2 linked regions of the Drosophila melanogaster genome follow. The protein of the gene in region 1 interacts with the protein of each later gene in a pairwise test. Each region holds a gene or a part of one and is shown on either strand. Other genes may lie near its edges.

What was found. Proteins that work in one complex are often made in the same cells at the same time.
Region 2: the proteins of CG14932 (region 1) and sordd1 interact in a two-hybrid assay, tested with the Drosophila melanogaster proteins (one large-scale study listed by BioGRID).

Annotation. Positions count from the first base shown.
Region 1 is NT_033779.5:11,786,959-11,793,338, reverse strand, and holds CG14932 (uncharacterized protein), read right to left. Parts: upstream 3,421-6,380; 5' UTR 3,336-3,420; coding exon 3,334-3,335; intron 3,281-3,333; coding exon 3,224-3,280; intron 3,164-3,223; coding exon 3,125-3,163; intron 3,068-3,124; coding exon 3,029-3,067; intron 2,970-3,028; coding exon 2,913-2,969; intron 2,857-2,912; coding exon 2,403-2,856; 3' UTR 2,328-2,402; downstream 1-2,327. Other genes in the region: CG14937 (uncharacterized protein), read left to right, coding at 1-708; Tsp33B (tetraspanin 33B), read left to right, coding at 1,036-1,788, 1,964-2,071, 2,127-2,246; CG14931 (uncharacterized protein), read right to left, coding at 4,008-4,505, 4,562-4,686, 4,749-4,797.
Region 2 is NC_004354.4:15,791,584-15,798,205, reverse strand, and holds sordd1 (suppression of retinal degeneration disease 1 upon overexpression 1), read left to right. Parts: upstream 1-2,177; 5' UTR 2,178-2,204; exon of another isoform or gene 2,205-2,396; intron 2,397-2,630; exon of another isoform or gene 2,631-2,719; intron 2,720-2,789; exon of another isoform or gene 2,790-3,045; intron 3,046-3,104; 5' UTR 3,105-3,143; coding exon 3,144-3,709; intron 3,710-3,772; coding exon 3,773-3,939; intron 3,940-4,004; coding exon 4,005-4,105; 3' UTR 4,106-4,485; downstream 4,486-6,622. Other genes in the region: sordd2 (suppression of retinal degeneration disease 1 upon overexpression 2), read left to right, coding at 1-539, 603-769, 835-953; Rhp (rhophilin), read right to left, coding at 4,694-4,897, 4,962-5,114, 5,169-5,494, 5,559-5,688, 5,749-5,996, 6,062-6,218, 6,304-6,622.

The sequences.
Region 1 (6,380 bases):
CTGTGTCCCACACTGGAGCATATCAAGATTGCGGATTACCACGTGTGTATGGAGTCGGATATTACGCAGCAACTACTGACATTGCCAAACCTGCGAAAGCTGTCGATCTATTCCAGGAACTTTGTCTTTGATGTCCTATCGAGGATAGTTAGTCCCACAAGTCCTCCCGGCGATGGCCGACAAATTGAGGCCTTTAGTTTCAGTGGAGTTTTGCACGACTATGGCCGGTTCTTCAGGGAGCTGGGAAATCTTAGTCACTTGACGCGACTGGAGCTGCACAGCCAGCCAGAGGAAGAGGAGGAGAAGGAGGAGGGCGTCCAGGTGCAGTGCCTGGGGGATCAGATACTGCGGCAGCTAGCCAGTCAACTGGGTGAGCTAACCGAACTCCATTTGTGTGGCTATCAGTTGGAGAGTCCTTTGGGCCTGCTGGAATTCGTGATCAATTGTCGACAGCTGAGAGTCCTCGACATCACTCGAACCTTCTGCCATGGAGAATCCTTCGTCTGGAGGTGTATTGCCATTTTGGCCAAGCAAAGCTGGCGCATTCGCCCTCTAGAGCTGTGGATCCGGCATAGCGATATCAATCCGGAAATAGTTCAAAGTTCGCGCTGCGTTGATAACATAAGGCTGATAAAGGTGGATGCAAAACAGATTGGACCCAATACGGACTACACATCTGGCGTACTCAAGTTTAGCTTTGTGCGGTAAACCGCTGCCCCATGAGTGGGATATGCTCCAACTGATCAAGCTCCAAAATGAAAAGGTTTTAAACTGAAATATAGTTAAGTGTATACATTTATCAACTGCTTACCAAATAAAAAGATGTAAATATACATATTTGTAAAGCGATTTTTCAATGCATCATTGTTTTTACTGCCCTTAGGGATAAAAAAAATTAAATTCAAGTTGTAGTACACTTTAAAATTCAAACACCCAAGTCCTTGCAATCAGCGTCAATCCAAATGAAATTCGAGTTCAGAGCTAAAACCTCGTCGACAAGCCAAACTTTGGATCGATGCCCACGAGGATGACCAAATGCGCCAGCCCTTCCGCCGAGCCTCCGTCTACCTCCACCTGCTGTTAATAACCGAGGCCGTGATCGGACTGCTGATCCTGGTGGTGACCGCCTACTACCACACCGTGCTCACCGGCTATCTATCGGATATTGAGTGCCGCCTGGTCTACGGCTATCTGTTTGGGATCTACGTGTTTGGCGCCCAGGTGGTGGTGACCTTTCTCTGCAGCATTGCCATGTGGCGGCGAATTTGGCGGCGTCGCTGCACGCCGAACATTCGCCTCTTGCTATCCGTGTGGGCCTTCTACTCCTGCGTAATCATTGCCTCCGGTTTCGGGTGCGTTTGGAATCTTTACCGGGGTGTCGATGTCCTCGAGAATGCGGCGGACACCTCGCTGACCCGCGGCATCGACATGTACTACTCGTGTCCCGAGTGGAAACTCCTGTGGGACGGACTGCAGTGGCACAAGGAGTGCTGCGGGGTGCATGGCTACAAGGACTGGATGAACGCGGAGTGGATGCCACGGCGGGAGAATAACTGCACGTCGATGGTCCTGGCACCCTTCGCCTGCTGCAAGCGCTCCTGCGACAGCTGCTTTAACAATTTCCTGCCCAGTGAGGGGCAGTCCATCGGTGGCAATAGCCGGCAGCCTTTTCCCGCTCTCACCGTGGACTCAATCAATGCGAACGGATGCTTGCCTGCGTTCGTTAGTGCGGTGTGGAACTGCTTTTACATCCTGATGGCGTTATGGGTCCTGGCCCTTAAGTTTCTGGTAAGTAATTGGTAATGGGCAACGTTTTAAAGTCAGAACAATGGTGAATATTGGAGCCATATTCATTAAATTCTGTCAAATTCATTAGCGTAAGTCATATTGAAATCAAAAAATTTGAATATGCAACAAAATTGTATTTTAAGATAAGACCTCCCTAAGTCAATCATCTTTTTAGATCGTGCTTTGTTGTATGACCAAGTTCATAGTTCACCGGCAGAACGAGGGCGATGGCTGCGATAATGTGGGACTCACGGACGATGATGGACATCCCTTGGTCGTGGTGGTGGGTTTATCCATTTACTATCCATCGATAGCACCTAAATCAGTCCATTCCCCAGAAATATCCGTGTAACGTGCGCTGTGTAACAATTGCCGAGGATGATCTGGTATCCGACAACGTTCCCGATATTAACTACTGCAATTGCACCGAAATGGACGACGAACCGTGTGGATACTAATATTGTGCTTAATTTTACTTTTATATTTTATATTAATTTAATTAAATTTACGAATTTGAGTTAACTTCATATCCAATCGGTGAACGCAATATATTATTTATTGGATATTATAGGATACTTATTACATGGATGTTGTAACATTGGATGTTAAATGGATTAACGGCGCATCCTCTTGGATTTCTTCAAAGTCTGACCCACCAGTTGAGCAATATGTTTGCGCAATGCCAAGAAAGGCTTCAAGCAGACGCGCTGCTCGACGAGACCCACAGCAATGCGGTGAAAGAACTCGGTGACATCCACGGGCTTGGCCAGCAGCTGACCTTGTGATACCGAGCCGTTTTCCTCTGAGGCCTCGGGCGTAGGGCTACGTGCCATTCTACGGATGAATGGTTCCAAGTTGCCCCTGCTACGTTGGGAAACGCGAGCTCCAATGGACTCTGATAGCGCATTATTGGCGCGAGAGAAGGTGAGACGCTCCTGAGATCCCGAGTCGTTTTGATCCGGAGTCTCTGGCTTCTGTATCACCAGTTCGGGTGAGGTGGGGTTTTTCTTTGGAATTTTCGGAAACTCGGTAATTTCGGTAATCTCCAAAGCACTGTGGGGACGTCTTCTGTAGAGAATCCGAACCCGTTATTCCACGTTCTACATTACGAAACTATAACTTACGGTGTACCCGCCTCATAAGTGACATATGGGGACCAGTCTGCCCCATCCAAATCCATACTAAAAGGTTCACAAAATGAAGAAAAATGATTTTGTTTTATAACATTAAATTTACTCACTCATCTTCGTTGGAACAGTCATCATCTTGATCACTTTCCCTGATTATAAGGCAACTTAAAAATAATCTATCAAAACATTATATTAAAAAGACTTACACAGAAGACTCGCAGGTAATCTCGTCACTTTCGGGAGCACTAGAAAGGAAATACATATATTGTCAGTGTTTTTCTGAAGCTAAATTAATGAAGTCTTACGTAGCTTCTTGATATTCATCATCATCGCCCACAATATGAGGAACCTTTGATTGGGACCTGCAATGAATAATCCATCAATATATTTAATGAACTGCTTTAATTTTAATTACATTTTTAACAAATTTTCAACGCCTAGCTCCTGGAAAATGACAATGTGAAAAGCCGTGCGGCCAGTGTGTCCACTCCAAGGAATGTTTAATAAGAACATCAGTGTTGATCAAAATACTGTTGAAAACTTACTGGAGCATATGTAATTAATATATAAAATTCAGTTAAAGCTCAAGTCACGTGTTCTTAACATTTAGTAAAAATAGAAATTTATACTAAAGGTTTTGGTAAATTTGAGCCTTAAAATTTTGGTTAAGTTTAGCCTTAAAATGGCAGTTAAACATAAAAAGTTTAAATTCCTATAAAAAGACGTACCAGTGTTGTACAACAGGCTTAATTTACAAACTTCCAAATACAAATGTAATTATACATATTTATGTAAAGTCAAGCCATCACAATTTAATTCCACCTTTGGAAATGTTTTTATATATTGGGTGTTCGTTTTTATTGAACTTGACATGCTTATGACTAAATAGTTAAGGAAACTGGAATTGGAATAAATACAGCTCGACCAAAAACACAAGCCACAATTATGCAATAAATTCAATCCTTTAATGTGACATATAGTTAACTTATTCGAGTACTCTTTCTTAGACATATGTGGGCTATAAACATTGTAAAATCTCTACTGCATTCGATTGGGAAACATAAACCACAAGACATGGGCGGAAATAGCCTATTCCTGGCTGATTTCATTGGCATCTGAGAAATCCGAGACGGCGACGCTGCTGGTGCTGATTAAATGTCGATCGGGCATTTCGCCGATGGAAGGAAGAGTGGTGCTATCGCTGGCGCTGGACAAAGATATCTCCTCCCAGCTGACGCCGGAGTCGCATTCGTTGCCCGGGGAAACGGGTGTGGCGTCGGCATTGTGCGGCTCATCCTCCGGTGCCTGGCCAATGCTGATAGCCGGCGTTGCTCTGGAACGTTTGCCAACTAGTTCGACGTTTTGATTGCGATCCGCAGCAATGCGCTTGCGATCGGGAATTTGATTGCCCGTGGTGGGACTCCAGTCCATGGCACGGTGCACCAAAGCCCGAAAAGTTATACGGATCGGCTCGCTCGGTGGACTGTCCATGTCTGAGGGATTTCTTCTGGACACTTGCGGCGACATGATCATCGTGGAGTTGTGCAAAGCACTGGGATGCGAAGTCAAAAAATCAGACTCGCTCTCCTGTCGACATTAATGAGAAGCTAATTACTATTTATTGTTTATTGTTAACTGAATACTTTTCCCACGTGCAGAGCCCTTTCTAGATCCTCATCCTGGGGACTGATACTAGCTGATTGCTGCACGACACTTGCTAATTCGGTCATTTCCTCAATATCCATGCCTTCCTCGTAAACGCCTGCGCCTGAGCAAATAGTTAGTTATATATGTATGTATGTTAAGGACGTCTAATTTAGAATATCTTACTTTTGAGGAAGTCAACTAATCTCCTGTTTGTTCGGCTGCGTAACTCCATTTTCAATGGGACAAAAACAACAACTTTAGTACTAATATTATGTGGTTACAATGCATTTGCTCTTGTTCTTGCTGCTAACGGAACTTTTCGCCAAACTGAAATCGTCTATAACGCCATATCGATAGTTAAGATGTGATCTCAAGTAATGGTCACACTTAGAGATGGTGCAACAAGTTTTCGAGTTGTATGTGAAAATATTAAAAACTATTTAAAAAAAAAAAAAAACGATAAGGCTCTGAAAATGTTGTGGTTATTATAAAGTGATATAAGTGATTAAGTTCTATAATGTAACTTGATAAAATTGTATATGTTTTCCTCGTAATTTAAGTCCAGTCTTTTAATTACCTCAACAAAAAGCCTTTAAACTTCGTTTGGTATTACACTTAAAAAACAATTTATGGGTAAAAAGCTGGGCTCCAAAATGGCGAAGTTTTAACACCAGCTCTGCGAAGTTGAAATGCATCGTGAAAAAAGTAAATACTTTGCGAACTTTTTGTGTGGTCAACCTGCTGACCAAAGTTGCAGCTTTCACTACCCACAACGCTGGCAATTGTTTTTCTAATTTAAGTAAAAAAATATGCGTCTCTTTGCATTTCGTTTGCATGCCCAGCCACCTGCGAGTTTTCTGGCCCCCTGAACACGCCCCTTTCACTTTTTACATACATACCTCGGACCCCATCGTTGCATCCCAAAACGAAAAGCGAGTTGAAATTCAACAAAATGTCAAAATGCCACTTGAAGTCAGTTTGCCATTTTCGCTGCCATGGAGCGCCTTTTCGACCCGAAAATTGTTCTTTCTGTGGGGCAGTTTTCAGCTCGACTTTGTCCCCATGGAAAGTCATAATACCCTGAATATTTTGAGATCATACACGGACTGGGGTGCTTCAGAAATATGCAGGCTTATGAAAACCTATTTAATAGCATTCGTAAATTTTTCGTGCCTTAATTTAGATAGGTTAAAAAAAGAATTTACGTTACATGTGTACCTTGTTAAGTTTTTTAAAAAACAAAAATATATAATTTATTATATTCCATATATTTACATATTTTATACAATTTATTTTGGTTTTTCATATTTTTCAAGGTATTTACATTATTTTCTTGTTATATTTTGGGCATAACTTTTTTCCTGATACTATTTTCTATATAACCAAATTATTTTGCTGGTTAAAACCAGCGACACCAAAAATAAAAGCACAAAAAATAGGAAAAGTTTCGATGTCGTCGCGTTGGCGAGCATTGCTTCTTTTGCATAGGAGTCGCCATTGAGTCCCAACTGCATTTGGCTTTACTTTCCCCTCGCCGTCGACCCACCCAAACCTCAGTTTTAGTGGCACGTCAAAGGCAAATAAATAAAAAAAAGAATGAAAAAAAAAAAAATTGAGAATAGAAGAAAAACCTGGACCAAAGCCGTTTGTGTTAGCCCGCATTTTGTACAGTTTTTGGCTGGCATTTAAAGTCCGTTCAATTACCGCGAAACACGTTTGACAGGGCAACAAAAAATAAAATAAAACGTCGACTTGAATTATTTGCGTTAGCTAAGGTAACGAGTTTAAGCGTTCTGAGTGGCGAAAATGTATTCA
Region 2 (6,622 bases), on another chromosome or scaffold:
GCGGAGCTTCCCAGCACATCAACCGGGGCATCGTCGTCCTCATCGACTTTGTCCAACAACGTGAGCTACGACAAGATAGCCTGGACTCGGGATATCACAGAACCCTTGGCTGAGGAGTCATCTACAAGTCAATTGCGCCCGCTGGGTACCTCGATTCCAACCAATTCGACGGCATCGGAACTGAAGAAGTCCAACACTTCGTATTCCTTTACTGGAGACTATCTATCTGGTGGCAATAAGGCCGATCTGAAGGGTGGCTATCCATTCGGCGGCACCGATACGGACACAAAAGCCAACGAAAAGGACAAGGAGAAGGAACATACCGCAGACGACTCACTCTACGAGTGCAACATATGCCTGGACACCGCCAAGGATGCTGTGGTCAGCATGTGCGGCCATCTGTTCTGCTGGCCGTGCCTGCATCAGTGGCTCCTGACGCGTCCCAATCGCAAACTCTGTCCCGTTTGTAAGGCTGCCGTTGATAAGGATAAGGTCATACCGCTGTACGGAAGAAATAGTACACACCAGGAAGATCCACGGTAGGTTTGAACCGCTTTCAACATGAGTATTTTTCAATAACCCAACTTATATGTGTTTTGCAGTAACAAAGTTCCACCACGCCCCGCTGGACAACGTACAGAACCAGATCCTGTTCCCGGGTTCCCTGGATTCGGATTCGGCGACGGATTTCACATGTCTTTCGGTATTGGAGCTTTTCCTTTCGGGTTCATAACATCTAGGCTCAACTTTTTCGAACCACGTCCACCTGGTAGGTTACATGCCATCTCAATAGTTCTGAGATTGACATTAAATAACATTTGCCCATGTATTTAGCTGATATTAGAAGGCTACACGAAGATGAACCCTGGGCCCTGTCAAAACTGTTCTGGCATTTTGTCGTTTTTGTGATATATGGGCTGCTCGTTCCAATAGTGCACGGATCATCCCGATAAGAAGAACCTATATTCAAATGTCAATGGAAAGCGTGCGAAGTAATCAAATAGCAGTATCCTCCAGTTAAATCAACAATATTGTTAAACTCGTTGGGCTATAGTCGTTGGTGTGATTAATTAACATAAATTGTTAGCATTCGGTTATAATTGTAATTTGAGGATTCGCAAAACAGAAGTGGATTGGGTCCCAAATTATTTCAAAAAGTCTGCAATACCCTACGACTTCAGCATAAAAAACTGAAATTTCGAAATAATTGGATCGTAATGATTTAATTCAAATGTAGATTTCAAAAATTGTATAAATTTATATTTTAAATTCTATAAAACATTAAAAACATTTATTTTAATTTATTTTCCGTGTAGATTATTATCGATGGGTGAAAAAAATCATTAAGTTTTTGCTTAACTTAAACTGCACAACATTCTTTTTAGGGATCAGGGATAACGTGAATTTCGAAGATGCTGAGGATATGGATGCATGTATGTACATGAAGATATCGGCTTATCTTGAGTATGAGATGTATGATATATGTACCTTCTACCGATCGCTCTAGAAGATCGCCTCCTTTAAGTGGGCCAGTTTGTTGGCAATGGAGGGGGACGCCTCATCACTGGCTCCATAATTGGCTGTGGTGATGCGCTCCACCTCCTGGGAATTGCCGATAAAGGATTCTGCTCCGTGCCAAGAAGCTCACTGCAACCAGAGTCACCAATGGAACATATAAATTGAAAAAGTTTTAAATTTCGTTTGCTTTGTTTTGAAAGAAGCCAGTTCTAATTAGGGATGGTCACGTGATTTCTGCACAGTGGGTGAGCTATCGATTACGACTTAAACGTTTATAGATGCATTAGCGTTGTACAAATCAGCTGTTCCTTGTTTTGGTTTAGTCTAATATCAATAAAATTATTGAATTCTTGACCTTTGTTGTGACCAGATCGTTAGGAACTAGAGATAGTCGAGTGAGTCCTGCTATCGATTGTCCATGGCACACAACAGCTGCTTATGAATAGTATTTAGTCTTGTAAATGTATTTAGTAGTTTATTTTGTTTACAAATCAATCGAGGACTGATCACTGATCACTTTTCAAAGGATTCATTGAGATCCGAGATTTTTCACCTAACTCGATAGTTATCGAACGCGAGCGTGGACTTTGGTCCGGTGGAGACGGGCTGTTATACAGGCAGCTATTTACCGATAGGGTAAAGGTCTATCGGCCTCGGTCAGGTATCGTCAGTGCAGTTGTTTTGAGGTGCTAAGACGTCAATTGATAAATTCCCAATTTTACCGTAACATAACACACTTGTCCACACAATCAATTTAGCAACATTCTCTGATTCGGTTTAACAATACTTAGCACGGCAAGTAGAAGCAAACTGTGAGCGAAAACAAACAATAAAATGAGGGCAAACAAGTCAGGTTTTGCAAACAATACACTTACAATGTATGTAATTTCGAGAAGTTATACTATTTGCTGTGCCCCAGGAAGTTATATATAGTTTAATTAAGTTATAATGCGTTTAAACGCAATCCCTGGAACTCGATGTATATGAGCATATAATTCCCCTTGACTCCAATAGGAAGTGCTCCATGAAAACATCATGTGACATCTTTGACATCTATACGTACTGTATAAATAAGCATATAATCGGTTCCAATGTACATATGTAACAGGTAGATGGAAACCTTCTAGCCCTATATACACGCGAGTGTTTGAGTGTGTAGATGTGTACATAAGTACGCACATAAGTCCAGGTACATATGCAGGTATACCGTCTTGTTTGCCAACGCAATTCAAACAAAATTTGACTTTTTTGTTTAATTTATGTGGGTGCAGCCAATGGGAATGTTCGGTGCATTATCCTTGAAGACTTGGTGGTAAATACGCCCTTTGGGCGGTTTTCGTAGCCATAAACACCACCCCATGGGGTCGGACAAATGCTGAATGCTGCGGAACTCGGGGGAAACCCCCTTCAAACTGCGCTTGAAGTATTTAATTAAATTAAGTCATATTCAAGAAAGTGCGGACCTTAGTTGTACACCAGAAATGGCCTAGGAAAATCATCTAAGCAATCTAGGCACTTGTCAATAGGGTGAACACAGACTTACTTAGCAAATTTGGGTTTCTAAATCATCCAACGTTACGTTGCAGCTTGAACGACTAAAACTTTACCCGCATCTTGGGCAAACCATGGAGGAACCGAAAAGTGTACCCACAGCGGAGCTTCCCAGCACATCAACCGGGGCATCGTCGTCCTCATCGACTTTGTCCAACAACGTGAGCTACGACAAGATAGCCTGGACTCGGGATATCACAGAACCCTTGGCTGAGGAGTCATCTACAAGTCAATTGCGCCCGCTGGGTACCTCGATTCCAACCAATTCGACGGCATCGGAACTGAAGAAGTCCAACACTTCGTATTCCTTTACTGGAGACTATCTATCTGGTGGCAATAAGGCCGATCTGAAGGGTGGCTATCCATTCGGCGGCACCGATACGGACACAAAAGCCAACGAAAAGGACAAGGAGAAGGAACATACCGCAGACGACTCACTCTACGAGTGCAACATATGCCTGGACACCGCCAAGGATGCTGTGGTCAGCATGTGCGGCCATCTGTTCTGCTGGCCGTGCCTGCATCAGTGGCTCCTGACGCGTCCCAATCGCAAACTCTGTCCCGTTTGTAAGGCTGCCGTTGATAAGGATAAGGTCATACCGCTGTACGGAAGAAATAGTACACACCAGGAAGATCCACGGTAGGTTTGAACCGCTTTCAACATGAGTATTTTTCAATAACCCAACTTATATGTGTTTTGCAGTAACAAAGTTCCACCACGCCCCGCTGGACAACGTACAGAACCAGATCCTGTTCCCGGGTTCCCTGGATTCGGATTCGGCGACGGATTTCACATGTCTTTCGGTATTGGAGCTTTTCCTTTCGGGTTCATAACATCTACGCTCAACTTTGGCGAACCACGTCCACCTGGTAGGTTACATGCCATCTCAATAGTTCTGAGATTGATATTAAATAACATTTGCCCATGTATTTAGCTGCTAATCGGGGAACAAGGCAATACGAGGATGAACAGACCCTGTCCAAGCTGTTTTCGTATTTGGCCGTTGTGTGGATATTGTGGCTGTTCTATGCATAGCAATCTGCGAACGCATAAAGACATCACCCCGATAAGAAGAACCTATGTTCAAATGTGTATGGAAAGCGTGCGAAGTAATCATATAGCAGTATCCTCCAGTTAAATCAACAATATTCTTAAACTCGTTGGGCAATAGTCGTTGGTGTGATTAATTAACATAAATTGTTAGCATTCGGTTATAATTGTAATTTGAGGATTCGCAAAACAGAAGTGGATTGGATCCCAAACTATTTCAAAAAGTCCGCGATACCCTACGACTCCAGCATAAAAAACTGAAATTTCGAAATCATTGGATCGTAATGATTTAATTCAAATGTAGATGTCAAAAATTGTATAAATATATATTTTAAATTCGATAAAACATTAAAAACATTTATTTCAATTCATTTTCCGTGTAGATTATTATCGATGGGTGATTGGGAGCGATTGAATCAATAGGAATAAAATAAATTATGGGTATAATAGAGGGGCTTTTAAAAAATCATTAAGTTTATTGCTTAACTTAAACTGCACAACATTCTTTTTAACTTGAAATGGCCATTGCCTTAAGAGCAAAAAAATAAAACACAAAATAAAACTGATGGCTACTTAAAATATTTTAGCTAAGCTAGGCGTTCGCCGAAACGGATTCCACGAACTGGATGAAACGCTGCCAGCGGGTCGCGAACTAGAGGATGTTTTCAGGTGGAGCTTGGGCTTGGCCGCAATACTTGTGGGACTGGGAAATCCGGATGAAATGCCCGATGAACTGGCCGCCGATAGCGTTGATAATGAGCCCTTCGACGACAATGGCTGTGCGTAAACAAGGTGAATTTGTTTGCTGATTTTTTACGTATGATTAATAAACAAAATGCACCTTCAAGTAGTTGCGATCCATGGGCGTTATCACTCTCAGCTCGAGTGTAGAGCCGCAGGATTGTATGAGCTGCACCACCTGCTGATGGGAGTACCACTTCACGTCCACGCCGGCTATCTCGACTATGAAGTCTCCCTCCTTGATGCCGCCAAGCTGAAAATAATGCCTACAGTATACGACGAATCGATGGAAGTAGCATTTACTTACGTCTGCCAAAGAATTAATCTCAACGTGGGCAATGATCACCGGAGCATCGCCGCGCACATGGAAGCCAAAGTTCTCAAACTCCTCCTTGTACAGATTGTATCCACCATCGTGCTCCTCGTCATCATCGTTATCCAATGGGCACTTGTTGTCATTGCTGGGCACGCTGTGATACAGGGAGGAACCTTTCTGGAGACGCACACATCTGGGCGCTGTCCAGTGGCGTCTCGCCGAGAATATTGCAATCGGGCCGAGGCGCTTGAAGGGATCCTTAACCTTGTGCGATGTGAAGTCGGGTCCGGTCAGGGATAACGTGAACTTCGAAGATGCTGAGGATATGGATGCATGTATGTACATGAAGACATCGGCTTATCTTGAGTATGATATATGTACCTTCTACCGATCGCTCTAGAAGATCGCCATCTTCGATATTTTTGGCTGAAGCTTGCAGTCTGAACTTCTCGAGCTCCTCCTGCGATTTGGAGTGCACCTCCTTCATGACTTCAGTCAGTGATGCCTTGTTCTTAAAGATTAAAGTTAAAGGTTAGGTTATTAGGCTATAGGATATAAGAAGTATATTTACCTTCAAGAACCGACACATCCGCTGCAATCGCTGGGCTTCCTCGATACTGGCCAGCGCCTCCTTTAAGTGGGCCAGTTTGTTGGCAATGGAGGTGGACGCCTCATCGCTGGCTCCATAATCGGCTGTGGTGATGCGCTCCACCTCCTGGGAATTGCCGATGAAGGATTCTTGGTTCTTTTGACTTGACTTTGATGCCTTCAGCTCGTCTGTCGCATCTATGCTCCGTGCCTTGTAGAAATGTGCGAATGCTGTTGGCGTTTACAATCATACTTTAGAATGAATATTCCCATTTCGAGGTGATAACCAATTCTACCTTTGTAGAGTTCCGCCTTGACTGGCACTAGACCGGCCCAGCATTCCGGAAGATAGGTGTGCGTATCGTTCGCCTGGATATTCTTGTGCATCTCATTGTACTCGTGCGATATTTGAGCAGCCTCGCCAGCCAGATCCCGAAACGCCTGGCAATCGTGCTGTATGGTTATATAGATGGTAAAATTATGTAACTACATACTATATACTATATACTATATACTATATATGCTGACGGAAACTCACGCTCATCGCCTCGATCTGCAGCTGAAGCTTCTCAAAGAGGCATTCTCGTGCCTGGGAAAGCATCAGGGAAACGAGCACGTCCAGGACCTGTGGCTTCAGGTCCATCGATGGTGCATTCGTGAACGTATCGTAGATGTGACGAAAGACCCCGGCGGCCCGTAAAAAACTATCCACGGCCAAGTCAAGACCCCGTTCCGTCGTGCGATCGTGTCGAGCGCCGATCTGTGTATATATGCCGCCCAGATTGAACAGGGTGCAGGCTTTCTCGAACGCGATGGTCCGCTGGCACGAGGGAACTCCCGTGAGCGAGTCGTACCAC